Caenorhabditis elegans: one gene and its partners. The main gene of each other region encodes a partner of the protein of the gene in region 4 in a complex. Each region holds a gene or a part of one and is shown on either strand. Other genes may lie near its edges. The genes, in order: lin-53, lin-9, lin-35 and lin-54.

Evidence for each region.
Region 1: lin-54 (region 4) and lin-53 share a complex: the UniProt entries of both Caenorhabditis elegans proteins name them as parts of the DRM complex.
Region 2: lin-54 (region 4) and lin-9 share a complex: the UniProt entries of both Caenorhabditis elegans proteins name them as parts of the DRM complex.
Region 3: lin-54 (region 4) and lin-35 share a complex: the UniProt entries of both Caenorhabditis elegans proteins name them as parts of the DRM complex.

What each region holds. Positions count from the first base shown.
Region 1 is NC_003279.8:9,614,886-9,621,449, reverse strand, and holds lin-53 (putative histone-binding protein lin-53), read left to right. Parts: upstream 1-1,689; 5' UTR 1,690-1,692; coding exon 1,693-1,848; intron 1,849-1,902; coding exon 1,903-2,486; intron 2,487-2,533; coding exon 2,534-3,047; 3' UTR 3,048-3,239; downstream 3,240-6,564. Other genes in the region: nra-2 (Nicalin), read right to left, coding at 1-124, 167-710, 769-895, 943-1,094, 1,140-1,217; putative histone-binding protein rba-1, read left to right, coding at 3,349-3,492, 3,540-3,980, 4,023-4,174, 4,235-4,489, 4,548-4,734, 4,785-4,844; K07A1.10 (Large ribosomal subunit protein mL64), read left to right, coding at 5,133-5,215, 5,268-5,522, 5,870-6,149; ate-1 (Arginyl-tRNA--protein transferase 1), read left to right, coding at 6,373-6,475. UniProt on the Caenorhabditis elegans protein: Core histone-binding subunit that may target chromatin assembly factors, chromatin remodeling factors and histone deacetylases to their histone substrates in a manner that is regulated by nucleosomal DNA.
Region 2 is NC_003281.10:8,896,913-8,905,870, forward strand, and holds lin-9 (Protein lin-9), read right to left. Parts: upstream 7,220-8,958; 5' UTR 7,214-7,219; coding exon 7,157-7,213; intron 7,048-7,156; coding exon 6,929-7,047; intron 6,880-6,928; coding exon 6,747-6,879; intron 6,707-6,746; coding exon 6,104-6,706; intron 6,060-6,103; coding exon 5,901-6,059; intron 5,426-5,900; coding exon 5,015-5,425; intron 4,937-5,014; coding exon 4,832-4,936; intron 4,786-4,831; coding exon 4,636-4,785; intron 3,881-4,635; coding exon 3,683-3,880; 3' UTR 3,326-3,682; downstream 1-3,325. Other genes in the region: unc-32 (V-type proton ATPase 116 kDa subunit a 1), read left to right, coding at 8,716-8,868, 8,950-8,958. UniProt on the Caenorhabditis elegans protein: Synthetic multivulva class B (synMuvB) protein. SynMuvB proteins are required to repress the induction of vulval development by Ras signaling and probably act by forming the multiprotein DRM complex that represses transcription.
Region 3 is NC_003279.8:5,805,775-5,813,533, reverse strand, and holds the start of lin-35 (Retinoblastoma-like protein homolog lin-35), read right to left. Parts: upstream 5,826-7,759; 5' UTR 5,805-5,825; coding exon 5,747-5,804; intron 5,495-5,746; coding exon 5,399-5,494; intron 5,114-5,398; exon of another isoform or gene 5,037-5,113; coding exon of another isoform or gene 4,896-5,036; intron 4,588-4,895; coding exon of another isoform or gene 4,356-4,587; intron 4,312-4,355; coding exon of another isoform or gene 4,137-4,311; intron 4,092-4,136; coding exon of another isoform or gene 3,998-4,091; intron 3,895-3,997; coding exon of another isoform or gene 3,715-3,894; intron 3,668-3,714; coding exon of another isoform or gene 3,539-3,667; exon of another isoform or gene 3,532-3,538; intron 2,046-3,531; coding exon 1,825-2,045; intron 1,563-1,824; coding exon 1,446-1,562; intron 1,188-1,445; coding exon 514-1,187; intron 464-513; coding exon 56-463; intron 1-55. Other genes in the region: C32F10.4 (uncharacterized protein), read left to right, coding at 3,539-3,667, 3,715-3,894, 3,998-4,091, 4,137-4,311, 4,356-4,587, 4,896-5,036; vps-51 (Vacuolar protein sorting-associated protein 51 homolog), read left to right, coding at 6,293-6,351, 6,395-6,569, 6,621-6,782, 6,842-7,273, 7,322-7,651, 7,722-7,759. UniProt on the Caenorhabditis elegans protein: Key regulator of cell division which acts as a transcriptional repressor and negatively regulates cell cycle progression in its active unphosphorylated form, but allows cell cycle progression when phosphorylated.
Region 4 is NC_003282.8:13,238,315-13,245,748, forward strand, and holds lin-54 (Protein lin-54), read left to right. Parts: upstream 1-2,736; 5' UTR 2,737-2,753; coding exon 2,754-2,879; intron 2,880-2,921; coding exon 2,922-3,077; intron 3,078-3,128; coding exon 3,129-3,237; intron 3,238-3,283; coding exon 3,284-3,389; intron 3,390-3,439; coding exon 3,440-3,827; intron 3,828-4,368; coding exon 4,369-4,614; intron 4,615-4,668; coding exon 4,669-4,845; 3' UTR 4,846-5,087; downstream 5,088-7,434. Other genes in the region: tag-115 (SAC3/GANP/THP3 conserved domain-containing protein), read right to left, coding at 277-383, 442-572, 837-1,098; rpl-12 (Large ribosomal subunit protein uL11), read right to left, coding at 1,365-1,462, 1,512-1,619, 1,830-2,084, 2,210-2,246; JC8.4 (CMP/dCMP-type deaminase domain-containing protein), read left to right, coding at 5,361-5,891; cox-11 (Cytochrome c oxidase assembly protein COX11, mitochondrial), read left to right, coding at 6,010-6,147, 6,872-7,147. UniProt on the Caenorhabditis elegans protein: Synthetic multivulva class B (synMuvB) protein. SynMuvB proteins are required to repress the induction of vulval development by Ras signaling and probably act by forming the multiprotein DRM complex that repress transcription.

The DNA of each region.
Region 1 (6,564 bases), on a different chromosome or scaffold from region 4:
CTGAGAAGTTGAGCTGCTACTGAATTTTCTGATGGTGTCTTTCCAGCATGCATGAAAAATCCTCCCGTTTTGCGACCAATTGCCTCAATACATATTGCCAAGTCAACACGATCATCTGAAAACCCTTCAAAACCGGTAAAACGACACTCTCCTTTTACTGCATTACCTTTTCTAGAAAGTCCAGATTTGGCATAATCAGCGCTGTCAAAGCCTTTCTGGTACTCATCGATCCAGTGACGAGTTCCTTGATAATTGAGCTTTCCAGCTGCTGTCCAAATGAACAAAATATTGTATGGAGGACGTGTGCTTGGAGAATCATAGAATTTTGACAGAACAGCAAGCAATTCGAGAAGTGCAACTATACCAGACCCATTGGAATCAGCGCCAGGCGAGACTCCTGGAACGGCCGATTGTGTGTCATAGTGTGCCACAAATGCAATCGTAGGTGCAGCACGATCTCCACTACTCAAGCGACCAACAATATTCAGTGGTTTGTATGAAGGTGGAAGTTCTGGACTTTGATCGGAAGAAGTGATACTGATTGTGTTTCCGGAAAGTGATTGAAGCAAATGTTGCAGGGCTGTGGGAGCTTTTTCCGAGCGAGTATTGACATCGTGAAGAATAGAAACGGCGTCATCATTGAAAGGAGCCACATAAACAGCCAAGTCGGTCTTTGCGCTCAACAACTTTGCTTCAAGATCGATGAATGCCTGAATAATGAGCATAAATAACTTTTATGGCAATATGAAATTAAATGTTCAAGCTAACCTTCCGATCAATATCGTTAAGTTCATCAAGATTGTCGGGAATGAAAATAAGCACGGCACCGGTAGAAAGTGCCCACATGTCATCGACATCTGTTGTAAGAAGATCTCGCCATGTTGTAACCATAGTTCTAGATATTAAAATATTACTATTTACAAATGAAATATCCAAAAAAACCTGCGAAGAGTTCTTGCACCCAAGGAAACAGCTTCATATGATACGCGATAATTTTTGCATCCATAAATGTTACCACTGATTTCGTATTGATGAAGACGGTACGCATGAAACTCGGTTTCTACGACTTCTCCAACTTGCTGGGACCCGTTCACCTAAATATGGAGAGTTCATCTTCTAAATCATTACCAACAACTTACTACACAAATGGTTAACATTAAAGTCATGTAGAAAAGAAGAGCCGGACTTCGGAAAAAATCGATGATTTCATCCTGCATCTGAAAAAAACATATCTTAAGCTCAAAATCACGAGAATCCTGTGCAAATTAGGATGAAAGATCTTTCGGAGTAGGAATTATTTAATAACACAAACTATCATGATTCTACAGAAATCGATAGAATTAAACCAGAATTGATGATATATAATACCCGAGTAGGGAGAAAACTGCATGAGTTTTCTGAGCGGAATTCAAATGAGCCAAACATGCTCTACCGTACCTTGCAACAGCGGTGAAGGCAAATCGTTGCGAGACCCCTCCCCGCGAAAACCGCGACGCGCACACACTTTGAAAGTGGGTTTTATCGGTCTTCTACAGTTTTGGTCACTTTCCCGCATTAAAATTCTCTGTTTTAATATATTTAAATTCAATTGAATTAATATTTTATTATTCACCCCTTCTTTGTTGTATTATTTTATCTAACTACACTGTTTGAACGATAATTATTCTTTGCAAAAATTGAAAATTTCAGGAAATGGCCACTCTTGAAGATGGAACCTCCGAAGATCGCGTCGCAAATGATGAATACAAAATTTGGAAAAAGAACACCCCGTTCTTGTACGATCTCGTAATGACACATGCGCTTGAGTGGCCTTCACTCAGTGTTCAATGGCTCCCAGACGTTGCGAAGGTATGTGTTCTCATATAATTCACAACTTTCATGAAGTGAATTCAAATAATTTAGGATAACAGCGACCATACTATTCATCGGCTCATTCTTGGAACTCATACTTCAGATGAGCAGAATCACTTGCTTATTTCTAAGATCTGTATGCCAACGGATGATGCCCAATTTGATGCATCTCGCTACGATACCGAGCGCAGTGAATACGGTGGTTTCGGAGCTGTTAACGGAAAAGTGGAACCCGATATTCGCATTAACCACGAAGGGGAGGTTAACAGAGCTCGTTACATGCCTCAAAAGTCGAATATCATTGCTACAAAGTCTCCACATGCTGATGTTTACATTTTCGACTATTTAAAGCACTCTGCTGTTCCTCGTGATAACACGTTCAATCCGCTTATCAGACTGAAAGGACACACGAAGGAAGGCTATGGATTATCATGGAATCCAAACAAAGAAGGTTTGATTCTATCAGCGTCAGATGATCAGACAGTTTGTCATTGGGATATCAACGCAAATCAGAATGTTGCCGGGGAATTGCAAGCGAAGGATGTTTTCAAAGGTCACGAGTCAGTCGTTGAAGATGTTGCTTGGCACGTTTTGCATGATGGTGTCTTCGGATCGGTTGGTGACGATAAGAAATTGTAAGCTTTTGTTTTTTTTCTATTTATTAACTAATTAAAAATTATAGGCTCATTTGGGATGTGCGCACAAGCACTCCTGGACACTGTATCGATGCTCATTCTGCCGAAGTTAACTGTCTCGCATTCAATCCATATTCCGAATTCATTCTGGCCACCGGATCAGCTGATAAAACTGTCGCTCTTTGGGATCTACGTAATCTACGAATGAAACTTCACTCATTTGAATCACATCGTGATGAAATCTTCCAAGTTCAGTGGAGTCCACACAACGAGACTATTCTTGCATCCAGCGGTACTGATAAACGTCTTCATGTGTGGGACCTATCTAAGATTGGAGAAGACCAATCTGCCGAAGACGCGGAAGATGGTCCACCAGAGCTGTTGTTTATTCACGGTGGGCACACCGCCAAGATCAGCGATTTCTCGTGGAACCCGAACGAGCCTTGGGTTGTGTGCAGTGTGTCAGAAGACAATATTCTCCAAGTGTGGCAAATGGCTGATAACATATACAACGAAGTTGACGAAGAAACTCCAGCCGATGTGGTAGAGAGACAACAGTAAAATACGTGAAACGCGCTTAAATTATTTGTATTTAACTTCTATCCTTCTTTAATTTTGCATCTCAACAAATTGTTCATCTTACCATTTATTCAAACGCATATTCTTCACCAACTAAGTTTTTAAAGTTAAAATGTTACCTTGAGATATGATCATATTTTGTTGAACCTGAAATAAATTCGATGACCATTGTCAGATAACTGTTTTGAAATATTATGTTAACGTGATTGTTGTGATAGCTCAGATTGTGATATTTTTGGTTTTTTGTTGTATCTTTTGTTATTTCAGGCAATTTCAGAGCACAATGAGTGAAGCTGAATCGTGTGAAGAAACGAGTAAAGAACATAGAATTTGGAAGAAAAATGTTCCATATCTCTACGATACAGTCGTCACAAAAGAGGTCGAGTGGCCTTCTTTATCAGTGCAATGGATGCCTGATGTCACAAAAGTAAGAATCGGTAAATATGATTTCGCCTTCTTCATTATTTTTTTAAGACAGAGAACTCGGATTCATCGATGCATCGAATGATTCATGGAACACATACTTGTGGAGGAGTTCAGAATCATCTCATGATCTCAAAGTTCACAATAACGACAGACACACCAGAATTCGACGACGCTAAATGGGATTCGGAACGTGAAGAGTTCGGAGGTTATGGAGAGGGCAGCGCTGCAAAATGGGATACTGAGATTAAAATCAACCATCCAGGAGAAGTTCATAGGGCACGTTACATGCCACATAATCCTTTCATTATTGCAAGTCGAGGTCCTTCTGATGACGTTTATATTTTCGACTACACGAAGCACCCATCTGAACCAAAAGACACCAAATTTCGACCTCAATTGCGATTGAAAGGCCATGAAGGCGAAGGATATGGAATGTCGTGGAGCAACACCAGAGAGGGACATTTGCTAACTGCCGGCGATGACGGAATGGTATTTCTAACAAAAGATATACATAAATATACATTTTTTAAGATTTGCCACTGGGATATAAACGCGAATCAGACCATTTCCGGTCAAATAGTGCCACAAAGCAAGTTTAAAGGTCATTCATCAAATGCGGAGGATGTTTCTTTTCACGCGCTCCATAATTTCGTTTTTGGATCTGTTGGAGATGATAGAAAACTGTAAGTATAAATACATCATACCATTCTGTCGAGATTTCAAAATAATTTTCACGTCTTTAGAAACCTATGGGATCTGCGTCAATCAAAGCCACAGCTCACAGCCGTCGGACATACTGCAGAAGTTAATTGTATTACTTTCAATCCGTTTTCCGAATACATTTTAGCAACCGGATCTGTTGATAAAACGGTTGCTTTGTGGGATATGAGGAATATGCGCAAAAAAATGTACACGCTGAAACATCACAACGACGAAATATTTCAAGTATCGTTCAGCCCGCATTATGAAACTGTTCTGGCTAGTAGTGGATCGGATGAGTAAGTTTTTTCCTAATAAGTTGTATTTGTTTAACCTATGAAATTTCAAAAATTTCAGTCGGGTTATCGTTTGGGATATTTCTAAAATTCAAGACCCATCGTCTTCATCAGCTGCATCATCTGATTCTGTTCCACCAGAAGTTATTTTTATTCACGCTGGGCATACTGGAAAAGTTGCAGATTTCTCTTGGAATCCCAACCGCCCATGGACTATTTGCAGCAGCGACGAATTTAATGCATTACAGGCAAGAATTATTTTCAAAAAATTAATCATAACTATTTAATGGTTTTTCAGGTGTGGGAAGTTTCAAACAGTTTAGTTTCGTCGGAAAAATGGGAGACCGAAATGATTTAATCGTCTAAATTGCACTTTGTCGAATTTTACTAATTTTCTCACTTCTGATCTTTGAATGTAAAAATCACATTCCTATCAATGAACGTTTTTTCATTTTCTTTCATATTGTGTTCATCTATTCAGAATTAATTTCTCAGGTTTTCTCTGCCACTAAATATTTACTTTGAAAAATAGTGTGTTCACAATGGGGCGCACTTGCGAAACCATGTTTAGTCGGTTTACATTGCTTATTTTCTTACGATAAGGAATATATTGATTAAACATATTTCAAGGTTATCCAGAAAGAAAATGTTGAGAAATTGGAGACTTTTGGTAAGAAGTTTTGCAACAAATTCAAGTGAGGAAATCGCTCCGAAGGTTGATGTTAGTTTGTGAGTTTTCATTTTTTGCATGTTCAAAAAACAAAAAAAAACATTTTTTTAGTCTACGTCCCCGTCATCGAATCATTGCTGCTGGTGGGATGCCACCGGTTCAATTTGATTCTGAGCGTGAACGAGCATCTCGTCGTGAAAGATTCGGAAAATATGGTCTAAAAAGTGGTGTACCAGTTGAAGAGCTGTTCCCAACAGCTGAAGAAATTGAGGAAGAAGAAGCCATTGGATTGTTCAGAGAATTTAATAATGCTAAGAAAGAATACAAAGAACTACAGAAAAAGAAGAGGGAATCAGAGTTAGCGAGGTATACTTTAATTGTAATTTCAAAATTAGCAACATTTTAAAACATAACTTTAAAAAATTTAGAATCGTTCGATAATTTTGCTTCAATTTTGCGAAAATAGGGCAAAAATTAATTGTTTTTGAATTTCGTGCAAGTGGCTGACATGCACGAAATCGGCTTTCCTTGATTTTTTTCTTCAATATTTTATTTGAAACACCGTTTGTCAAATTTTCGGACAATTATATGTTTAAAAAATTAAAAATAGAATTATCGATTTTTAAGACATTTTTGAAATTTTAGTCTTTGCGAATTCTTTACACAAAAATGCCTGAAAAATTTACAAATATGTCATCTGAATCCATTTTCAGAATTGCTGAACTCGAGAAAAATCTCAAAAAGTATCCTGCAACACTTGCAAAATATGAAGCTTCATTGGTTAAACAAGAACAAGAGAAAGACGAAAAGGAAGTAGCACTTGAAAAACGAATTCGTGACATTCAAGAATACTTTGGATATTGGATGGATCCAAAAGATCCAAGATTCGAAGTGATGCTACAGCAAAAAGAAGCAGAAGAGAAGAAGGCTGTGAAAATGGCAAAGCGGGACGAAATTCAGAAGAAACGATTTGCAGAGAACGTTCAGGGATAATATATTTGTCAGATTTCTTAATTTTTCCTAGTTTTTCCTTTTGTCTTTTTCTAGATATAGTTTCTTGTTTTTGTTTTTATTTTCTTCCAACATTATAAATATTTTCAAAAAACCAATGCTCATTTTACCTTTCAATTATTGCCATGGTAGTCAAGCCTATTATTTGAAATCCTCATTTAAAGATTTCTTTTGACGATATAATTAATCCATATTTTCAGCTGGGATGAATCCAACATTTTTAGAATTCATCGGTGCCAATCAACGATCCAGTTGTGGATATTGTAAAAACGATCGCGGCGAACGAACTCCAGCTCGTTCCGCAAAAAGTTAGTCGGATTTCCTAATTTCTGTTGTTGTTTGAAATTAATTCTGATTTTTTACTAACAAACTACTGTTTCCCATTTCCTAAAACTTT
Region 2 (8,958 bases), on a different chromosome or scaffold from region 4:
TTACGAGCTTGTTTTTAACCAGACTTATGGATCCTGAGAATGGAGGGCCATGGAGCCTCCATGGAGGGGATGGCAGTTGGAGATACAATGATTTTGGAGTAATTTTACCTTCGTATTATTTTTCATGTGATTTCATTTTCAATTCACTTAGCCCCGTTTCCTAATGTTCAAGTTGCTATTTCCAATTTATTTTCCTTGGTCCACTTCATATTCCTTGGAATTTTTTCTGCATTCAAATTACCAAATAGCCACGTGCAATATCCCATTCTCTGCAGTTTTGAAATTTGAATTTATACAATAAACATGAGTTGTCAAATATTCAGTCTTAATCTGATATTAGTTCAAATATATTCCAAATCAATTCCAAATATATTCGAAATATATTTCAAATATATTCCAAATATATTTAAAATATATTCCAAATATATTCCAAATCTATTCCAAATATATTCCAAATATATTTCCTATTCTACTAATCTTTTTCTCAATTTCTGTGCGAAATTGTGTTATTATCGTACCAGGGAACAGAGATATGACCAAATCTGTACTCACTGTTCAGATTTTTTATAAAAATGGTGAAAAAAGGCTTTGGATAATTCCAAACATTCATTTGGCAGAAGCTGGAAGTTAATGAAACACACACCGCAGCTGTTAAAACTTATATAAATATATTTTCTGTTTCCAAAATTATAAACTTGTAAAATAAAACCGTTTCAAAACTTTCACGATCGAAAATATGATGCGTGCCAAAAGGACGTCAGAATATATTTGGAATATATTTGGAATATATTTGAAATATATTTGGAATACATTTGGAATAGATTTGGAATATATTTGGAATAGATTTGGAATATATTTGGAATATATTTGGAATATATTTGAAATATATTTGGAATATATCAGTTTCCGGTAATTTTTGTTTGTCCGCTAAGATACTTTGTCACCCAAAAGTTTGTTATCACGGAGAATTGATCAACTATGCTTGATTTATTGCTTTTATACCCCTTATGATCCTTTGAAGCTGAAGGATCAGATCATCAGGAGGTACCCATCTGATCCTTTGAAGCTGAAGGAACAGATCACCAGGAGGTACCCTTCTGATCCTTCGGAGCTGAAGGATCAGATCACCAGGAGGTACCCTTCTGATCCTTTGAAGCTGAATAATCAGATCATCAGGAGGGATCATTGTTCATACATTCAATTGTGAGTAGTCAAGGCCGAAAATCCATGGAAAATTGCATTTAAAAACTTATTCCAGTGAAAAAAAAACAAAAATCGATTGAGAAATATATATAAAAAACTAGTTGAAAAAGTTTGTCACCGAAGATACGCCCGGTCAGAGACAAATGGCACTTTGTCGACTGGATACCATGTCACTTTGGATACTTTGTCCCCAAAAATACCTTGCCACCCTAAAAGTTTGTCCCCTCGGAATGAAGGCCATTTTGATGCATCTCAATCATCTCCAGATTCTTTGCAAGAAGATCATTACTTGGTGCTGGAGGCGGAGACAGAGCAAGAGCTCTGCGTGGAGGGCGTCGTTCTTCTTTTGGCTGAAACTTGAAGACATGACAACAATAACGTCGCGTATTGCACTTTTTTGAGAACAAAAAATCCACATTTCATCTGGAAAATATTTTTTGAAAAACAGTAAAGAAGAAAAAGAAGGAAATAGAAAACCATTGGAACACGAATAAAATGTGAAAAATAAAATCATTTCCCCGTTTCATTGAAGCAAAAGTATTATGTAACAGAGTTAAAAAGTGATGGGAAAGTTTGGCGAACTAGTATTGACTAGTAGTATAATAGTGTTACAAGCATAAAGTTCAAAACAAAAGATGAAAATTTAAGTAAAAAAAAATTCTATTTAATGTACATGGAACTTTTGATGTTTATTTCTCTGCGAGCTTCTCAAAAGTCGCAGGACAGGAGTTTTCGGCTCTTCCACGTGTGGTGAAGGTGTTCGTTGAGGCGTTCCTCTAATTTGCACAACAGCTTTGGCAGGCGGTGCCAGAAAACAGAAGCGGGCATTTGTCGATTTTGCGATCGGTATCTCAGAATCCATTGTTCCTTATTTTATAGAGTTTCTATGTGCATGAACGGATTTCAACGAAAGATAGGTATGATGGCAACACGAGCACACCGTCGGTTGAGTGATGTGATGCACATTTCTCATGTGCTTCCTCACATCATCGGCTCGAGTCATCACAATTTGGCACATCAGGCATTCCTGTGGTGTCATATGATACTTCAATCGATGATGGTTTAGTGCCGCCAAGTCCTTGAGCTTAGAACTGCAGACATTATGCAACATTTCTTCCATATTCTCCACTTCGACGTCTTCTCCATCTGGTTTTGAATCGATTTCCATCACAAAGAGATTTTTGAATCCTTCGACCAGTGTTGGAAATTTAGTGAATTCCTGGCTGAAGGCATCCGAGATTTTGTGGGCGGTATCGGTGGACACGATTAGAACACTCTCACGGACTTTTGAGAGTTGCGTTGCTAATGAGCAACTGCCTGTCGTCTTTCCGACACCTTTTCAGGCTACAAAAATCCGTTTTAGCGTTTTTTGTTCGAGAATATTCTCGATAGAGGCTTCCAACTGATCTACCATGCTGAAAAAAGTATTTATTGTATTTGAAAAAATAATCAAATTGATTTTGGAGCAATACCAGAGAAATGGAGAAATACGGAGAGAAGCAAATAGATTTTTTGTTAATTTTTGCAGCTAAATATAAGAATGATATCAATGTACTTGAAACATTCAAAAATTTCATAAAAGATTAACAGAAATTTTTTAAATTTTAACTATTTTTTCAAATTTTTTAAACAGTTTTAAATGTATTTTTGTCGGTTTTCAGTGAAATTTTTGTTAAAAAATAAGAAAATTAAGAAAAAAAGCTAAAAATGACTTTTAAAAAAATTGAAATTCGTTTTTTGGCGCAAAAAGTTAAAGGGACATGAGATTTCGTAGGGAGCGGGTCTCGCCACGATTCCTCCTATTTTTATTTTTACTTTCAAACGAAACAACGAAGCTCCGAAATAACGCATTCGTGATAAATTTAATAAAGAAATTAGCAGCAAAACAGCAAAAAATGCGAATGGAATTCAAATACGAAGCAAGGCGCGCAACACACTATAAAAATTGATCAAAATTACGCAGCAAAGACAGTTTAAAACTACAGTAATCTTTGAAGGCGCACATCCGTTTGTATTTAACAGACATTTGTCGTGACCAGTTACCGTACTTTTAGCGCTCACTTTTGTGTCCGGGCTAATATCTTCTCACCGCTGGCAAACATAATAAAATGAAAATTCACCTGAAACTTTAAAATTTTATTTATTTTCTAGACAGTCAGTAAAATAAAAAATAGTGGAGTATAACTGACAAGGGTTTCGTTATTTGGCTCGTTTTTCTCGAAAACTGATGATGATGATGATGACAATGAGGAAGAAAATAGAATTTTGGCACATTCGAATTATCAAGGTTGAACTACTTTTAAAAAATAAGAAAAATGGGGATGTGTCTCATGATCGGGTACAATTTTGAAAAGACACAAAGTGATTGAAGAAGGTGGGGAGAGAGAGAGAGCAGAGATGAGAGAACTGAGAATATTCAGAAAAACAAAAACTGACGGGACCGGTTGGCGTTTTTTTGGACAAAATGAGACGCTTTTAGTTATTTTCTGTTCGATACAGTTCCAGCTAGTGCTCCACTTTCGAGCATAATTGTGTGAAATTGTTTCATATGAACTTCAACGTAGTCTTGGAAGAATGCCACGTTGCGGGGGTGAATAGCGGTCCGAATTTCAGATATGGCGTCACCAAGTGATTGAAGATCAACTGCAGAGATCTTTTGAGTTCCCATTGTGCGAACCTGGAAAAATATAATATTTTTTCTAATATTTTTCTGCAGTAAAAAAATTTTTTAATAGTGTTTTACCGATGACCAGGTAATTTTGAATTCTAGGAAACAATTTTAGTTTTTTTTTTGTAAAATAGTAATTTGTAATTAATTCTAATGGGACGATGCAAGTGAACACGTGTATTCAGCTCGACCAACGCCTCGAAAATTTTCAAAAAAGGCGGGAAAAAATATTTGAATTCGCCAAGAGGAATTTCACCGCAGCGCGTGACGGTGTTTGCACAAATTACACCGAATGGTCGAGCTGAAAACACGTGGTGAATTTCTCGTAATTTCTCGACACATTTTTTGCAATGCAAGTGCGCGGAGAAATGACGAGAAATGTCGTGAAATTTGCAATTTCTCCGCATTTCTCGACATATGATGAACGGTGAGATACGCAGAAACATGTGTCCCCGCAGGAAACTCCGCCTACTCACCGCACTTTTAACAGGGTGAAATGTCTTACCACCCTGCGAGGACACATCTCATATGTCGAGAAACGCGTAGAAATTGCGAATTTCACGACATTTCTCGTCATTTCTCCGCACACTTGCATTGCAAAAAATGTGTCGAGAAATGACGAGAAATTCACTTGCATCGTCCCATAATGAAATTAGGAAAGAGGATTTGGTAAAAACCGAAGTTTATTTTCTAATGAATTTTTACATTTTCAATTTTTTTTTTCATTAATAAATTATTATTCTGCAGTCTATAGTGCCACAAACCTGTAAAAGGACAGCTGTCAATGATTGAATAAGTGTCAACGCATGCACATTCTCTACATTTAATCCTTGATTACAGTGCTCTACAAATCTTCCAGCTTGTTGAGAGCACATTTGTCTAACTGCTTCAGGTTTCATATTTGACGTTGAAATCTGCAAACAAATAGATCTTTCGAAGAATCAGGAAATGAAAAATTACATCATTCGAAGAGAAATACATATGGTGATCTTGAATTCCATTCATATTGATATCTATATTCTGATTCACATGTTCCAGATCGATGATAGTTTTGGCGTATTTCTCCTGAAAAAAAATTGTTTTTTAGATTCTATCTAGTTGACTTTTTCATATATCAAAAAAAATTTCTAATTAAAAATGTACCTGAAAAGCTTTCGAATATTTGTCTGACGTCATATTTTGTATCTCGGCATCCGCATTCAATTCGTTCAATTGTCGTATCAATCCCTTTTTGATATCAATTAATTTCGTCAGTTTCACAAGATTCACAAGGAATTTCAGCGGGAAATTTCCAACCATTTCTGCATTTTTTCCATTTAATCGTTCGTCGTTCGGTCCCATTAATGGTCCACCACTTCTCTCGATTTTTCGAGAAACCAGGACGTCACGAACAAGATGTGGATGTGATGAGTCACGAACTGCTGCTACAAATGGACGAACGCCTGATGGAAGCTTAGAGTTGGCTTGTTCAATGAAGTAGGCGATACTCAACAAATCAAGTTTTCCGTCGAGAAGTATTTCCGTGTCACTAACCAGTGTTGGTGGGATATCTGGCTGAAAGAATAAAACATTGGAATTTATAGAATTTCAAATATTCAAATTTCCCTAAAACAAAATAATTTATGATCCAAAACTACCGAATATAGTAATAGGACGTCTTAATTTCCAAAGACTTCCTATTTTCAGCTAAATCATTAAATTTTGTCAATTTCTCCTAACACTTTTTATTGCATATTTTGGTAGTAATTCGATGATTTGAGCACATTTTAAGTCGATAAGAATCCTACTTTGATATTTTTGGTGTCTATCGACTTAAAGTGATCCTAAATCATAGAATTAAAGCGAAATAAACCACTAAAATATGCAATAACTGTTGAAAATGCAATAAGAATTGCATTCCAGCATGTACAAAATGGACAAGTTGGCGAAGTTCACGAATTTAGCTGAAAATAGGTTTGTGGCGAAATTTTAAGACATCTCGTTACAAAATTCGGGCGTTTTGGGTGATATTGAGTCTCCTTTTACAAACCTTGTCAAAAATAATTCTGAATCCTTTCGGAATGACAGCATCAATAATTCCAGAATAAATTCCATCGTAGGGATTTCGAATTCTCGCAAATACACGATTTCCAACCACCATTGGACGTGGAAGCTTGGCTGGAAGATCTTTTAGATCAATCGATGGATCCTGAAAGAACATTTATTGAAAATGATACACCTCTTCAGCCTTACGTTAAGATAACTTCCTTCATAGACACTTCGAATCTTCATTCTTTTCTCTTCCAGGTACATTCTTTCTTCTTCAAAAAACACTTTCGAGCATCTACGTGGCTTTCCGAGAAGTTTTCGAATCGACCGCCACTCAATACGCGTTAAATTCCAATTTTTCAGATTTGGGAAAGATTCGCGGATAATTGTGGCAAACTCGTTTTCTTCTTTGAAAATTTGTTCGTCGATTGCAGAATAGAAGAACTCGCACATGACCCATTGACGAGCTTTCTTATATCGGAGCAAATTGTAGAGTTTCTTTATATTAGCTCTCATAAATGTGCTCACATCTTCACTTGTTTGATTTTTATACGTTTTGAATTGTTTCATCATGGCACTTCGTTCTTGATCTGTACTGAACATGTTGAAGAATGACTGTGTATCTCGATGTTCTACAGCTTCATTTGTCATATTCGCAGGATTATCTAAATCATCAAGACCTGCTACAAGGTTTTGATGCATCTCAATCATCTCCAGATCCTTTGCGAGAAGATCATTACTTGGTGCTGGAGGCGGAGACAGAGCAAGAGCTCTGCGTGGAGGGCGTCGTTCTTCTTTTGGCTGGAACTTGGAGACATGACAACAATACAATTGTTTTAAAACTTACAATATATTCCAAAGCACAACTGGAAGATTCATAATCAAGAGCTGCCTTTGCGAGCATTGTTAGACTTGAGTTTCGGGTCAATGAGTTCACTGAAGGAGAATCTCTACCTCCATTCAGGCGTTTCGCGGGAGATCTGTAAAATCATAAGATTAGTCGGCCACTTTTTCGGAACAGCTTGTTACTTTTTGGGAGATCCGGTACGTTTGATACTGCGAGACGGTGATAGGTATAGTTCTTCATTACGATATCTCGATGGAACTTTAGATGTTTCACGGAGACTGTATGGTGAGCTGGTGCGATCCTGAAAATACCGAATGTCATGCATACTTTCAATATCTTTCTTTAATTTACAACTTCTTTATTTTTAAAAACACGAAAACCCAATAAAATCAATATTTCCAATAACTTACAGGATCAGACGTGTCACTTGCTGCCTTTTTCCGCGGACTTCTCACCGCAGACGACATTTTTATCTGAAAAATAACAAATTTTTGAATAATTTCAGACCACGAGACAAAAATCAATGAAAGAATGCGGACGCGCGCGCGCGAAAAAAACTTTGAAATGGCGGTTCTTTTCCCCAACCAACAGCCGATTTCAAACAGCGTGATGGTCTCGACGCGATTGCCCTGCGGCAGTGTAGCGAGGTACGGTGGAGCGCTGTCTGTTGGAAAACAGAACACAGCTGAGAGAAGTGAATGTGGTGGGAAACGGAAAAAAGGGAGAGCTGCTGTTTGACAGTCGAACGTCGTGACATTCCGTTTTTGGATTTTCTCGTGAAAGTTTTTTTTTTTTTTTTATTTGTTTTATTTCTTATTTGTATTGATTTTCCATCTTTCCTGGGTTATCATTAAATTTTAAACATGGTTTTACACAAGATCATGCGGTGAAACATGTTTTTTTCTTCCTTTCCGCATTTAAAACGAATTATTTTGTTTATATTGTTCTTCTCTTTCCATTCTCATGATTCATTTCTCTCCTTATTGGCAAGAAACATTATAAAATTGTTCATTCCTACTAAGTGTTTACCAAAATTTATTTTGGCCGCAAAGTTTTAAAATTGTAGAATAAACTTTTCATTAAAAATATTTCGTCTTCAATCACTCATCTTTGTTCCGAAAACATCTCACAGGTTTTTTCTTCAAAGCAATATTCTTCTTTAGTGTTTTTAGTCAGCGTTTTTCGTTCTGGATCTGGATTCTATGGTTTGATGTTACTTTGAAACACTATTTATAAAATCTTTTTGCAAAGAAACAATTCTCTTAAATTTAATACAATTTCCGCATCAAAATTGAAGTTTTTGTGCAAAGTTGACCTCTCGCAGCGTAATCTTATCGTTTTTTCGCGTTATCACCACTCAATCTCCCCCACTGCTCTACAATTATTTCATTTCTCTCAACCTTTTGATCGAATCGATTGAATTTCATAATATCCACGAAATGTGAGTCGCCCAATGTTTACGTTTCTCCATCCTATAACACTGCTTACAAATGGTTTCAGTGTTCAAACATTGCGGTGAATGAGGCAGACAATCAGACATTTTCTTTCTTTTAAAACCTGTCCTGTTCATTTCTTCCTCATCTCCTTTAGGTTTTCTTATTCGCCATCTGAAAGTTTATTTCTCTGCGTCTAGCTATTAGATCCTGGAGAATTACGCTCTAATGTCGATGACGTGTCGGCTGATCGATTAGATTGCGCAAATTGTTTCTTTAGTTTTTTCTAGATTTCTCTCCCTTTTTTCATGATATTCCAATGGAGCACGTTTGAGCGCATGCTCTCTTCTTGCTCAGTGCTGCTCCGTATCGATCCCTCTCCGTCAATATCTGGTCTTCGGTCCTGAGGCCTTCGCTCCTAGCCTCGTGCTTTTCTTAAATGTTTTCTCTCGAAAGAAGCGTTTTTGATTTTTTTTTCCTTCTTATTTTTGAAATCTTCATATTATTTCATGGAAATTCTTACAGAATCAACTAGAATGGGTGATTACGTGACTCCCGGCGAGGAGCCACCACAACCGGGCATCTATCGAAGTGAGCAGATGTGCCTGGCTCAACTCTACCTTCAATCTGATGCTTCCTATCAATGCGTTGCTGAACTGGGAGAGCTCGGACTTGTTCAGTTTCGTGATGTGAGTTTGTGATATGTAAAAAACTATTTTCAATTAATAATTTTAAAAAAAAGTAAAACTTCAATTTATTTTAATTTTCAGCTTAATCCC
Region 3 (7,759 bases), on a different chromosome or scaffold from region 4:
CCGAAAAAAAAGTCTTTTTTGTCTTTTTTTTGTGCAAAATAGATTCGCTACTTACTCTTCGAGTTTCGAATTCTCCAATTTCCAGCTTCCAATAATTTTTGTCAATCTATTATAAAGACTTTGATTGTTCGATTCCAAATCGTCTGGATAATTTCCCAATTCGAGATTATACTCAACACACGGAACTCTCGGCTGTTCTTTTGACTGTGTTACCAACTTTTCTGATGCTACTTTTCCACCTAATGCCAACTTTTCCAGACAATGATTATTTGAGATTTTTGTAAGAAATTCTGCATCACGGAAACGTCTTCCAGAGTAAGACACTTTGAGAATATCTGCTACTGAGTATGTGTCCGGGGATTGGAAAATTTTTGAAAAGTCCTCAACGCTTGGAATGAAAATCCGCTCATCAATACTTCCACGTTGCAATAGATAATTCTCATATGCCGTTTTTGGAACGTTCCTGAAAGTATTATTTTCGTTTTTAAAATTACATTTTCTAATAAAACGTACATGATCAAATCTCGAAACTCTTGAAAATTCCAAGTGGACGGAATTCCAGTCTTCTCCATTTTCTTAAAAGTATGATCAGAAAAGTGCCGTGCATCAAGAACACTTCCACCAAATTGTGTGCAAAGAGCTCGAATAATCGTACAATCATTTTCAAGAAGATCTTCAACAAATTTTTGATTCAAATGATGAACTATTCCCTCTTTCATTGAACACATTTCGGTATATACTTGATCAAGTATTGAAAAAAGAAGTTGATAATTTGAAATCAAATCGTCCACTGTCATTCGACTTTTCATCACCAGAAAAGATGTCCAAAGAACCGTAAAAAGTTCATGAGAAGATGGACAATTTTCGGATCCAACTTTGATCTCCTCGAATATTTTGCAGAAAATTCGGCAAAACTTTTTGAATATCACACAAGAAACTGCGAGTCCTTCTTGAATTCGTCGAATATATTCTTGATAACGACGAATTTTTCTGGAATGTATAATTTCCACAAATCGAGCAGTTTTGTCAAGCATTTCAGCAACGGATATGTCAAATGAGTTGGCAATTGTAAGTATCGAAACAGGAAACGGTTGAATGAGAATACGGATTGTTTTTCCACGACGTTTTATTCCTTTTGATAGAAGATAATAGTAAATTGCTGATAGTTGCCACGCCGATTCCGAACCCTGAAAATTATTTTATTGTCTAGAAGAAGCAGCAGAGTAAATTCTATTTTCAGATTAATATCTATTTTTTAATGTGAAAAATTTCATAGCCATTTGAAATGAAAAATTGTCAGAACACATAAAAATATTTTGAAAGCTCTAATTAGGCACACTTGTGTTCACTATGTGTGCTACTTGAATTATTCAGTTTTTACATTATATAGTAGTGGTTTGTTTTGAAAAAACCCCTTCCCCGCATTCGTTGACTACTCAATTAACCTCAAGAGAAACCCGTTGAACCGCGTGGTTGTACGTTTCCCATGCACCAGTAACAATGTCATTTGGTAAATTAGCTGCTCGACATCCTTCCAGAAATGATTGTGATGGTGGCGGTGTCTGAAAAGTTTAAAATTCTTTTTTATACTTTAATTTGAGCAATCAGGGGCAAAAAGGGGGTTTTTTTTTCATTTTTTCGTTTAATAAAAATACTTTTTTCTGATTATGATATTAACTTTTCAGGTTGACATTGATATAATTTTTAGAAAATCTTAGTCCTAGACTTCCTTTTTCAAGTGTTGATGAAAATTAAAATTATCCGCATCATTTTCCGTATAATTTTAAATATTATGTTGTAAAACTAGAAGAAACATAGTATTACATTAGTTTTATCAATAAAACTATCAGCATCATCCTCCTCATAATCATCATCTTCTCCCAATGCAGGTGGCATTGATGTTCTGGAATCTTCATCTTGTTCTTCGTCTTCTTCTTCTCGTCTAGCTTCATTTATGTTTCCTTCTGTTTCTTGTTTGATTGTCATTTGAGTCAATTCGGATTCATTTTTAATCAGCCCTCCACTTTGCACTCCACCATTGAATTCTGAAAACAGTTATCATTTAATATTTCATGTCATCTAGGTTGACTGTGATAAGAACATTTCTTATTGCTTGTGCTACCTTTTTATGAAAATGTTTCGAAGTTTGATTTATGAAAAACGTTTAATTTTTATTATCAATGAATTTTTAAACATATTTATTATATTTTGAAAAAAAATTAAATTAAATTAAAATTGATACTGTTAACAAGTACGATTGATCCATCTTGAAATATTTTCTGAAATGCCAAACCAATTTTCTGATTTTTTATATCAACGTTTACCAATTTAATTTTGTTAGATTTTTTGTTAAATATATCTTAAACGGAGAAGCACCATTTTAAATTTTCAACAAAAAATCCTATAATTTTGTGTACTCTTAATACTAATTGATATTTCATAAACCTTCTGAAACTAGGCAAATTCTCTCGTGAACAAAACCACTGATTTGTCTTGAAATTTGATACTTTTCCCATAGGTGCATATCGAAAAGAAAAAACCCAAAAGAGTGGATACCAGCTATATTTGAATTTATTGATGTGCATAGTAATAATATTACATTGAATTCATTGTCCCGCACACATATAAGCCCATAAATTGTGATATTTTTCGACGGAGAACACGAATTTCCGTTTTTTTCCCACTTTTATGGGTTTTCTATATTTTCTTTTTCCTCTTTCATAGTTTCTTCATAGTGAGACCTACACAACTGGAAACACTCAATGATTTACAATATTAAAGGAAATTTATCCAGATGGCAATGAATTGACCCAAGGATGTCAGTTTTTAAATTAATGAAAAAAATTTCAATTTTTTCAATTTTAAAGTAATTTCCAATAATTTTTAAAGAACGAATTGAATCCATTATATTTTTCCAATTAAAACAAATTCGATAAGTCACCAATTTTTTTTCGGTATTTCTATAGAAATACAATTGTATAAATATCATAAAAACCAAAAAAAAATTTCGAAATTTTTAACTTTAAATCGCGAGAAAAATAAAATCCAATTTTTTTTTGTTTTTGGTACGAAATTTGAACAAGAAATTTTTTGTTTTTTTTTGTCAAAAATATTTTTTGGCATCCTTGATTCTCAACTTATCCATATTTAATTGTGACAAATCAAGTAACGACGAAACTAAGCTGCCAAAATTGTTCTAGTTTCTTCCAACGTTCTTATCATTCTTTATTTCTCCACATACTCTCAGCTGATTCTAGTGCTCTTCTCTATTTTCAACGTCCCTCTCTCTATCTCCCAATGCCCTCATTTCTACAGTTTCATGCAATATTTACTCAACCGACACATGAAGAATTGAAAGGGGGAGAAAAAGAGAATCATATTGTCGTGACATCGACCATATCAGTCGTATGTCACCTCCCCGACTCTGCTTCTCCTTTTCTTTTCTCTCGTAGAGGTCTCTTGTTGGCACACTCAGACACACACAAATGCATTTATAAACCATATAAGCCAAGAAAATTGTATTGATTCCAGAAGAACCATGACAACCGAGTCTTCTCAAACGACGGATCCGTATCAGCACCCGCAACAACGGGCTGAACCACATCAGCCAACACAGCGGATAGCTGCTGAACCGGAGCCAAGGGTATTTTGTGGACTTCCAATTGGTGTAAGTTCAGAAATTTTGAATCTCAGCAAGGATTGAACATTTTTCAGGGAGCTGTTGGAATTCTCGGATCCATTCTCATGATATGTCAAATATTCGGACTTTTGTATCCATCTCCATTTGTGCTCTACGTTTTCGAGATTTCTATTGGAAGCGCCATGATGTTTGTTCTATCAACTGGTGCAAAGCGTAGAAAAATTGCCTATATCACTGCTTACATGTTATATCTAGTACGTTTTAAATATAACTCACAAGATTCGATGTTCCTAGTCAATTATGGAAGCATCAATATTCTCGTTAATATACACTTTGAGAAATAATTATCAATTTCAGTCAATGTACACATTTTGGGTGTTTTTCTTGATCCTGGGAGCAGTTATTGCATGTATTTATTTATCGGATAACAATGATAACATTTGCAATCCAGGTTAGTTTCAATACAATTTTCCGGAATAAAGAAACTGATTTGAAGATAACCAAAAGGATGTAACCACTGCGAAGGGATGTGTTCCAAAAATGACAACTGGAGAATTAGAAATGGTTATAATCTCATGTTTCTTCCTAACTGTTAGTATTATTGTTGCACTCGTCCAAATGCGATATATGATGATTCTCTACAACTTCCTCAGAAGAAATGCATACAGATTGTGAGTCCATTATTTCAATTATGAATATTCATTCAATGGTTCAGACCTCAACATCAGGCGTCAAATTACAATGTTCAATACATTGTACCAACACCAATGAGTCCCAGTGGTATGCCACCACCACCAAGATATACCGCCTACGCCCCACCAATGTCAAGTCAAACTGCTCCTCCGATTCCTACAAAACAACAACCTGTTGATAGCGAGAGTTCGACGACGTCGGCATCAACGAGGAGTGGTTCTTTCGTATCGACACCGATTTTGACAGTTGCCAATGTGAGTTTTGAAAATTTTTTGAAGCTTTATGAAATCCGTTTCAACGACTATTCATTAATCAATAATATAAAACTAAGCTATTCTTTCTATATTATAAGCTGCATTAGATAAATACGTCTTAATGCGATTATAATTAACTTCAAATAACCCGCTAAATTTTGTTACGGAGCGCTTGTAGTCGAAAAAGTAATACTAATATCAGAAAAATGGTTATTATTGGGAAACCTCCGATTTCCAGCAAATTCGAGCCAGAATGAGCTCTAAAATTCTTTCCCTATGACATCACTAAAACTCTGTAACAATTTCAGAGTGAACCAACAGGAGCTGACAATTCGGCGTTTACAAATGATGAAGATCCAACCCGACCACGTGCAACTTCTCGGCCGCCTGCATATAGTGACGTGGTTGAACCAGGACATATAACAGTCCGAAGTGACGTTCTTCAATAGATTTCACTCTGTCTTCTATGTATATTTTGACATTTGCTCGTGGTTGTGTGCAATAATAAAAATGTTGCTTGATTGGTAGCTATTGTTGTTAGTGACCTCTTAACTAGTCAGGTGACTGAGCGCTTGATAACTTCATAATTTCCTATATAAGTAGGAGATGATAGCGAGTTGTGATAAAGGTGATAATGAACTGGGGAATATCTATCTTCATAGAGAAAATTATTGGAAAAACGAAGGATGCTCTTAATATGTAAAACAAAGCAGTCATTTAGATTATCACATGAGGCTGCAAACCCTTGTTTTTGTTTAATATTTTTGAAAAGGAGAAAATAATCAGATTTAATATTTATAAAACCCCATACCTTGCTTTATATCTAAGTCGATTCGTTTTGCTGGTGGCTCTTCACATATTGTATCCGTTGTCTCCGTGCCGGCTAACACGGCATCGAATGGGCTTTCTGAAAATAAATCAATTAATATCTAAATTTATTTGCGGTAATTTGAGGCTGAGTTCTAAAAAATTTCTCTCCCTGATGGAAAGGCAAGTAAAATCTTGAACGCTGTTTAAAAAATTTCGAAAAAATCGAACCCTGCGCAAATTGCATTAATCAGTTTTTCTATTCACTGCGGCGGAGAAACTAGCTTTGATAACGCCTCACTTTCCAGACAAGTATAATTATACGCTTTGAATAAAATCATTTAAAGCTTACGCTCGTGAAATGGGTCAGTTGTTGATGTTCCAGGCTCATCGGCTGCTCGTTTCGGCATATTGAAGAAGTTTTTACCAGTCTGAAGAATATTTTTGTGTTTTTTATTCGATTAAACCCAAGAAAGTTCAGATAAAATGTAATCGAAATCGTTTAAAATTAGAGAAAGCAAAATAATTTTCAAGAACGCGCTCATTTTTTTCTAGTCGCGCGCGCAATGATGTTCCACAATTCGCAATAGAGCGCATTTGTGCACGTCCTGGAGACACCATCGATTTTGAGAAACTGAATAGGAAGAAGAGGATACTTCAGAACTTTCTAAAACTGAAGCATTAAATGTGATTAAAAATTGTGAATGTGAGAGAAATCGAGTTTGCAATTCAGAAAATGTATGTTCCAGTTGAACACATCTTACCTTCTACTTATTTTTTCGGCAACCAGCATTTCCCCCAAATTTCGTTCCCTTTGTATTGATGGTGTCTCAAATCTGTTTTTTTTCATTCTCGAGTTTTCCTGAATTTTCTTTAATTTTTCAGTATTGAATGTAAAATGTCTAGTGTTTTGGACGTCACAAAGCCGGATTTTGATGTCGAAGCATTTGTCGTCAAGTTAGTTTTCAGAGATATGCACTGATAAATATTATTAATTCAGATTACTCCGTGAAAAGTCGCTTGATGGATTAGTAAAAGAAGAGGAGGAGATGGTTTCAGCTGTGAGAAGGCTTGATTCAGATGTACATCAAATAGTCTACGAAAATTACAATAAATTTCTGACTGCGACAAATACGGTTCGAAAAATACAAGATGAATTCACGCAACTCGATTCTGTTAGTTTTCGAATAATAATAAAATCAGACAATTTTAATGTTAATTTTCAGGAAATGAAATCTCTCAGCCGAAGTATGTCGACAATATCGACTCTAATTGGGAATCTTGACGGAGTTTTGGGCGAAAAACGTGACGATATTCTACAATTGGGAAGCTCGTATAAAGTTGTGAATAGTTTGAAGCATATTTTCGATCTTCCTCATGTTCTGCGGGTAACATTTTTAATTTTAAAACTTTTTTTTCATATTGCATCAAACTAAACAACTTCCAGAGTGAATTCGATGAGCGAAACTATGGAGAAGTTCTTCGAATGTTCAAATTAGCAGAAGAGTCACTATCGCAGTATAAAGACGTTCCAACAGTTCAATTAGTTCTTCAAAAAAGTAAGAAAATTTATGATATGACGGAAAATCAATTAATGGATCAACTGCGAAATCCGGCTTCTGGTGCAGAATTAGTATCAGAAGCTGTAGATTTATTATTAACAATTGGAAGAGATGAAGATGAAGTTCAGAAAGTGTTGCTCACGTGTTCAGAACAATCTTTAAGAGTAGATTTGAAAGAATTATCAGCAAATCATTCGGATGTTTTGGATCTCGTTGATAAAGCTTCTGAGAGTTTTATTCCAAATCTCACTCTGATTGCAACAACTCATGATCGATTATTTGAGGATAAACGAGAAGATCTTATTACGGTTTTGAAGGTTTGTTAATTTAAAAACGATTTGGATTAAATTAAAGTTTTTTTACAGACGGAAATGAATTCTCTGCATGCTTTGGTTTCAAAAGTTTTTCTATCATCAAGTGATGCAAAAGACTGTTCAATTGTCGTCCGGGCTCTTGATAGATATTTTCGAAAAATCTCAACCTGCCGCTATGTGATTCCTGGACTTGACTTTCTTCCATTAACTATCGAACTAATCAATGCAGTATCAAAACACGAGATTGATTTATCATTGACAAGAATAAAAGAAGAACTCAAAAATGGTTTGAATGAAGTTCGAAAAGCATTAATTAATGAAGAAAAGGATTTATCCGCTTTAGCAAGCAAAATTGAACAAGTTTTTGTTCACCAAGTCAAGGTAAATTTTTCACTTTATTCTGACTGTTCTCTCCAAAAAAATATGCTGTTAAATCTTTAATATTTTCCAGACCGCTCTTGCAAATCTGCTCTTGTTCACAGCTAGCGA
Region 4 (7,434 bases):
TGATAATCTAGTTTTTAATCAAAAATTGAAATAAAAATGTTCGTTCAACCTGAAAATACGACTTTCTGGTTGAAAATTTCAAAAAAAGACTTCAAAGTATCTGAAACGGCCATTCTCAGGTTTTTTTCGATTTATTTCAATTTACTTCGAAATAAAAAAAAACCTGGAAAAGGAGATTTTCAGGCACTAATTGAGGCATTTCTTGAACTTTCCAACAAAAAAGGAATATTTTCAGATTTCTTTTTGATTAAGAACGTTGATTTGCCGTCCAGCTACCTTCCAAAGCACTCTTCCAACTGAAAATCGTGCAATTTCGGGTCATAACTCTGACATTTTGCCATCTTGCAAGCTCCGTCAGTTTCTATGTAGAATGGAAGCATTTTCTGCAAAATTTTATAGTTTTTAAGGATCTTTTCTTCTCAAATTTTTTATTTTTCCAACCTCAATAAGAATTACAGTGAAATCTCCACGCAAGTTTTGCATAATCATATCCTGTCGAATTGATCGTAGACGATCCGAAACAAACGAAAAAATCGATGCGAATTGTTTGGAAGTGATCGCTGACCGCCTGTCTGATGAAAAATCAATAAAGTTTTTTAAGGAAAAAAAATTAAATCATTTGTAGCACCGTTAAACTACCATAGCCGGGGTAAATTAAACCGTGTATGGCCCTTATAAAGTACTCTTTATTTCTATATAGCACACTTTCTGGACGCGTTGAATCTCGAGAAAACTGACCGAGAATGCGTGAAAACAAGGTGCGTCGGCGGTGACTGAGCTGAGACGTTTTGCACCATAATTGGAGCATTTACCACAACACCAAACATGACACTCACCTTTAAACGGACTGTACAAATCCAGAAGATAGTCTATTGTGTGTTGTAGAACGGGAAAAGGCCTTAATAGTTCCGGTTTGTTGTATTTATGGGTGTCAGCAGCTGATCGTGAGTACTCTTTGACCATTTTCGTCGGATCTGCAACGTATTTTGACCGGGGTCCTGAACTAGTCGATGCAGTAGCTTCTAATTGATCTATCAGATGATTCCGGCTTCGAAAATTTATTTCAGCGACTGGGCACATTGATTCACACGAGGCCATTTCTGAATGAAGCGAAAATATTTTAAAATAAAATAAACTGAAGAAAAAATTCATCAGAGCGCAGTTTCTCTCCACGCAAAAATCGATTTCGAAAAGCGACGAAGCACGAGTTCTTTTACCAGAAATAGATAACAAATGAATCCCAACACCAGTGTCTTTCGATACAAATTCTAAATTAGACGTCTTGCATGATTTATTGAGATATTTATCAAAATACACGCAGATAGTAACAAGAATTTATTGGAACAACAAAAACAAGTGACAGATCATTGAGCTGGGATCTCGATCTCTCCATTGGCGATCGACTCGATGATGTCGTGTGGGTGTTGTCCATCAATTGTGCATCCAACGGATTGGGCTGTTCCTGAAAAAATACAATATTTAGAAACAGTTTATCGTTTTCGAAATATTACCAAGGATCTCCTTGACGGTTCCTTCAAGTTTCTTGGCCATCGATCTTGGTCTCATGATTCTGGCGATCTTGATGATGGTGTCAACAGTGAGGTCTCCATTGTGCTTCACTGAAATGGAAACGTGCAAAACGTTAAACTAGATTGATTAAACAACCCGTTGGGACGAGACAACACCAAACCCAGGAAAAATCAAACTCACGGAGCATGAAAATCACTTAGGTTACTAGTCTTTAAGTCACAAACTTTTACAAACTTATGAAGTAAGAGACCAGGGGATGAGAGCATATCGACTCCCGACCCAACGCATTAAATGCGTACCGTTCTTGACCTTCTTGCGGTCACGTGGTGGCTCCTTGAGCTCCTTGACGATGAGGGAAGCAGCAGATGGGACAACGTCGATCTTGGCAACACGGTTCTGGATGGTCAATTTGCAGGTGACCTTAAGACCCTTCCAGTCTTGGGTGGCCTTGGCGATGTCTTCTCCGATCTTCTTTGGAGACAATCCAAGTGGTCCGACCTTTGGGGCAAGAGCGGAGGTGGCTCCGACTTCTCCTCCGACGCAACGGAGGTACACTGAAAAGTGAAAATGATGCAAAAGAGTTTTTCAAAAATCACGATGATGAAATCTTTGACAAATTGAAAATCACGCATAATACGTCAAATACCTAATTAAATGTGCACAAAAATGAGCAACTTACCGATCTTAATCTCAGTTGGGTCGAACTTTGGTGGCATGATGAGTGACGTCTACCAGGGATACCGGCGGTGACAAAAGTGAGAAAAAATTCGTCGCGAGGACTTGGCGCCGGCGAATTGACTCCGTATCACAATGGTTGTTGCGTCGCTACGCAGCGAATTGTCGATGTCAATTTTCAAACAACATTAACTGTGGAGCGCACTTGCATTATTTTTGTTTAATCAAATTTCGGCGCGCGAAACAATTTTTTAATCCTTTTTTTGGGTGTTTTTTAAATTTATTAATATTAAATCTTATTGAATTATTGATTTTCAAGAAATAAGTTACTAATTTAACATTTTTGAAAGTATTTAGACGGCGAAAAATGAAATTTTGGTTCAAAAAGGAACGTAAATAAGTTGTATTTCATCCTCAAAACGATGTTCTTTTTTTTTTGTTGGGAATTTTCTGGCAAGATAACTTAATTTCTTTTCGTTTAATCTCTTTCCAAATGCTAAAACATTGTTTTCCTGATTAGTTATTTTTCAGTATTTTCAGTGTTGACAATGAATCAAGGAGAAATCGTTTATCAAGACGACGATGATTATTACGACGAATCGGAGATATACGATAATTATGAAGAAGGTGCCGAATTTATCGAAGTTAATGGACAGCTTGTGCCTCATAATCCAGTAATTTGTTTTCAATTCGAAATAAAAATAAACTTTTCTCAGAACTTACAGGCGCAGCAAAATCGTCCGGGAACCTCGAGTATGATTCAACAGCATAATCGATCAATGGAAGTTAATCAGGGATTGGTCAAAGACGAACCAATTGATACATCATCGCATCGCGTCTACGTCCCCCCTCCGAGACCAGTTCAGCGAAAAGTAATTTTAAAAATTTTCGATTTTTTACGAATTGACTAACCTCTTTGGAAGCTTTTTCAGCCTGGGCCCAGCACTCCCGGATCGTCTCAGTACACTGTGCGGAATTTGTCCAATTTATCGGGTTCACCTTCAATGTACGATCGACAGCCCGCTTCATTACGTTCGTAAACTAGAGATCTTTTGTCCTAATAATTATTTTATTTAAGCTAGAACAGTGCAACCAATGGGCTTGGAGATGGGAAATTCTGAACAGCGAAAAGTTTACATCGATATGAAAGATCACGTTAGTCATATTAGATTGAAAACTAAAAAGTAAAGAACTCAAATTTTGTAACTTTTCACTAATTCCTCTATTTTTCAAGAAAAGTATTTGCACCTGGCCAGCGGAAACCATGCAATTGCACGAAATCTCAATGCCTCAAGCTCTACTGTGATTGTTTCGCCAATGGAGAGTTCTGTCGTGACTGCAATTGCAAGGATTGTCACAATAATATAGAATACGACAGTCAGCGTTCAAAAGCCATCCGTCAGTCACTTGAGCGAAATCCGAACGCTTTCAAGCCAAAAATTGGTATTGCTCGTGGAGGTATTACCGACATCGAACGTCTTCATCAGAAAGGATGTCACTGTAAAAAGAGTGGTTGTCTGAAAAACTATTGTGAGTGTTATGAAGCAAAGGTTCCGTGTACCGATCGATGCAAGTGCAAAGGATGTCAGAATACTGAAACATACAGAATGACAAGATACAAGGTGCAATTTCCTATAATTCAGTTTAAAAAATGGAGTAACGATTCTGGATTTTTCGAACGTATAGGCTAACAAATGTGCTCAAATTAACAAGTTTTGTTTGGCAGTTCAAAATTCCGAAAAAGGCTAATTTTGATCACTTTTCCGTGTCCCAGCGGTCGGAAGCTGACTTTTTTTGAATTATCATCTTTTATTGAATATTTTGGTATTTTATCTGACGTTATTTCATTGATTAAGGTACATTTAAAGCTGATCGGTAACCAATTTCGATCATTTTTGGTCACCTCTCGGCCTTAAATGTACTTTAATTGATGAAATTTTTAAAAAAACGTTAGATAAAATACCAAAATATGCAATAAAAGATGATAATTTTAAAAATGTCAATTTCCGACCGCTTCGACGCGGAAAAGTGGCCAAAATTGAATATTTTAGCTCAAATTTCACCTTTTTCAAATTTAAAAAAATCATATTTTGGATCTCTATACGTTCAAAATACCGCAATTCTTGCAATAAATTTAATTTCTTATTCAAATTTTAATTTCAGAACTCCGGTGGTGCCGTGTCCAATACGAATGCCCTGATGTCATTGACCAACGCTTCCAGCACAGCGACTCCAGATTCTGGTCCGGGAAGTGTGGTGACCGATGAGCATGGAGACGACTACGAGGATATGCTTCTTTCGCATAAACCGAAGGTCGAGATGGATCCTAGACGCTTCCCGTGGTACTATATGACCGATGAAGTCGTTGAGGCAGCCACTATGTGCATGGTTGCTCAAGCTGAAGAAGCTGTTAGTTGGAAAATCAATTGGTTTCCTATTGAATTTAATTTTTTTTCTTTGCAGTTAAACTACGAAAAAGTGCAAACCGAAGACGAAAAACTCATCAATATGGAGAAGCTTGTCCTTCGTGAATTCGGCCGCTGTCTCGAACAAATGATCACAAACACAACTGAGCTCACACAAGATCTTGATGCCGCTCCAACGGATGACATCCCAGGACCATCTACTAGTACTTCTTAACTATTCGCATTAAAATTATTATCAATTTTATCACAGTTGCGCGATCTTTTATGATCTCACCTCTCACACATTCTTTGCCTTCCTCCCCTCCTCTCAATGCTTTTACAGATTCACAAGTTGCCTTCTTTCAAAGTTGTCAAATAAAAAATGATCAGAAAAATTTGTTTCATTTTTACTAACTCACCTGCGTCTCTTCAATTTTAGAAATTATTGTGTTATATTTATGAAGTTTTGTGTCTTTTTTTTATTATTTGGCAGCATAGTTGCACATTTGTTCCCAGCAAAGTAATTATTTCGAGAAATGTTTGATTTTTTGATTCAGAAGTTTAAATTAAATTTTAATTGCGTATTGTGCGCCGAAACACGCTCCTATTTTAAACAAAGCTATTCAGGAGTGTTTCGGCGCACAATATGCATCGCTGGTCTGCGATTAAAATTAAAATTAATTTTTATTGTGCAAAAAATAATTAAAATGCGAATTAGTACACCTTTAAAACCTAGAAAATTTATTAGAAATGTCAGAAAACGAGCTGAGCGCCGAGGACACTGCATTTCTGGAAAAAGCCTTCGAATTGGCTCAAGAAGCTTTAGATGAAGATGAAGTTCCAGTTGGATGTGTATTTGTGGTCAATGGAACAGAAATTGGAAGAGGTCGGAATCGTGTGAACGAGACCGGTGATCCGACAAGGCATGCTGAGATGGTAGCAGTCACTGAAATGTGGAAAGAGCACGGAACGGGCTGCGAGGATCTGCTCAAAAAATCCACGCTCTACGTTTCCCTGGAGCCCTGCATAATGTGCTCGTCGGCAATGTATCAGCTGGGAATTCGAAAAATGGTGTATGGAGCCGAAAATCCACGATTCGGAGGTGTACGGAGTGTTGGAAGTGCGGAGAAGTACCGAATGGAGGATAATGTGCAAATTGTGGCTGGAATTTGGTCGGAACGATCTGTCGCCATGCTGAAAACATTCTACGAGAAGCTTAACCCATTTGCACCGCCTGAAAAGCGGAAAACTAAAAAACCAAAGTTAGATGAAATTAAATGATTTTATTAATTATTCATTCTTGTTTAATTTCTCGATTCTATGGTTACTAAATGCGCCATATATATCTGAATTATTATAGTTCCAATTGAGAAAAAGTATTAAAAAATCGATTTTTCAGATGTCTTTATCCAGGTTATGGGGCCCTGCGAGGAGCTGTTACTCCTTTTTTGCAACAAAATCTCCGTTAGCAACTTTATCATCACTACAAAGGAATTCGAATGTGATTAGTTTTCAGATTGCGAGAGGATTTTCGAAAGTAAGGTTTTCGGAAATAAATACTGTAAATGGATTCAGAAATTAGTTTTAAATATTTAAGGCTATTCGAAGTTTATTTTGAAAAAATTCTCTATTTGTAAAATTCTGGAAAATTCAATTTTTCCAACTTTTTAATCACCGAAATCAAACTCCGTTCTGTATTTTGACGTGAGAAAAATTCAAAAAAATTCCCCAGATTTTATATTTCAGCTTGAAATCGCGAATTTCATTTGTGCCCCGGTTTCTTCTTTTCAAATACGCGCCGAAATTAATTATCCTTGAAGCGCGTTTGCCTCATTTAATTTTCTTCAGATATTTTTACTTTTTTCAGTTTTTCATCTATTTTCATTCATTTTTATGGCAATAAAAAATTTACACGAAAGAATATATTTTTCAAAAAAAAAACGATAAAATACGGCAAAAATGGATGAAAATAGCTGAAAAACTGAAAAAAAAAAAAATATATGGAGAAAATTAAATGAGGAAAACGCGCTCCAAGGATAATCAATTTCGGCGCGTATTTGAAAAAAGAAACCGGGGCACAAATGAAAATCGCGATTTCAAGCTGAAATATAAAATCTGGGGATTTTTTTTTGAATTTTTCTCATTTAAATATTCGGAATCAGGGGAAAATTTGGAGTTATTTAAAAATATTTCCCAGATTTCGGTACCCCACCTTTAAATAATATTTTTTCCTTCCAAATCTCCAAAAAAAATTATTTCAGAAGCCGAATAGAGTTGTCGATAAGTCAGCTGACACGCGAAACTACACATATTATGTGATGAGCCTTGTAATTGTAGCAATTGGATGCACGTTTGCTGCAATTCCAGCTTATCGAATTTTCTGCGAGCAAACTTCGTTCGGCGGGCTTACACAGGTGGCGAAGGACTTTGATAAGATTGCAAATATGAAGAAATGCGAGGATCGTCTCATTCGAGTACAATTTAATTCTGATGTTCCGTCGAGTATGAGATGGGAATTCAAACCACAACAACACGAGGTGGATAGGAATGATTTTGAAAATCTTTCTTTCAAGAAAAGTTCATCGGACGGACCAAAAAACATTTTCTGAATTTTTTTTTCTAAAATTTCAAATAAAACACAAAACTAATTTTATTTTCGCTTCTTAAATTCAAAAGTCTGAAAAAAATTCCTCAAAATCCAAGTAAAACCTAAAAACCGAAAAATAAACCTCTTTTTTCCAAAATAAGCCGTTTGCTCTTTCAAAAAACTTTTTTTCCATTAAAAAAAACAAAACTCGTTGTATTTTAAAAAGTTTAAAAAAAA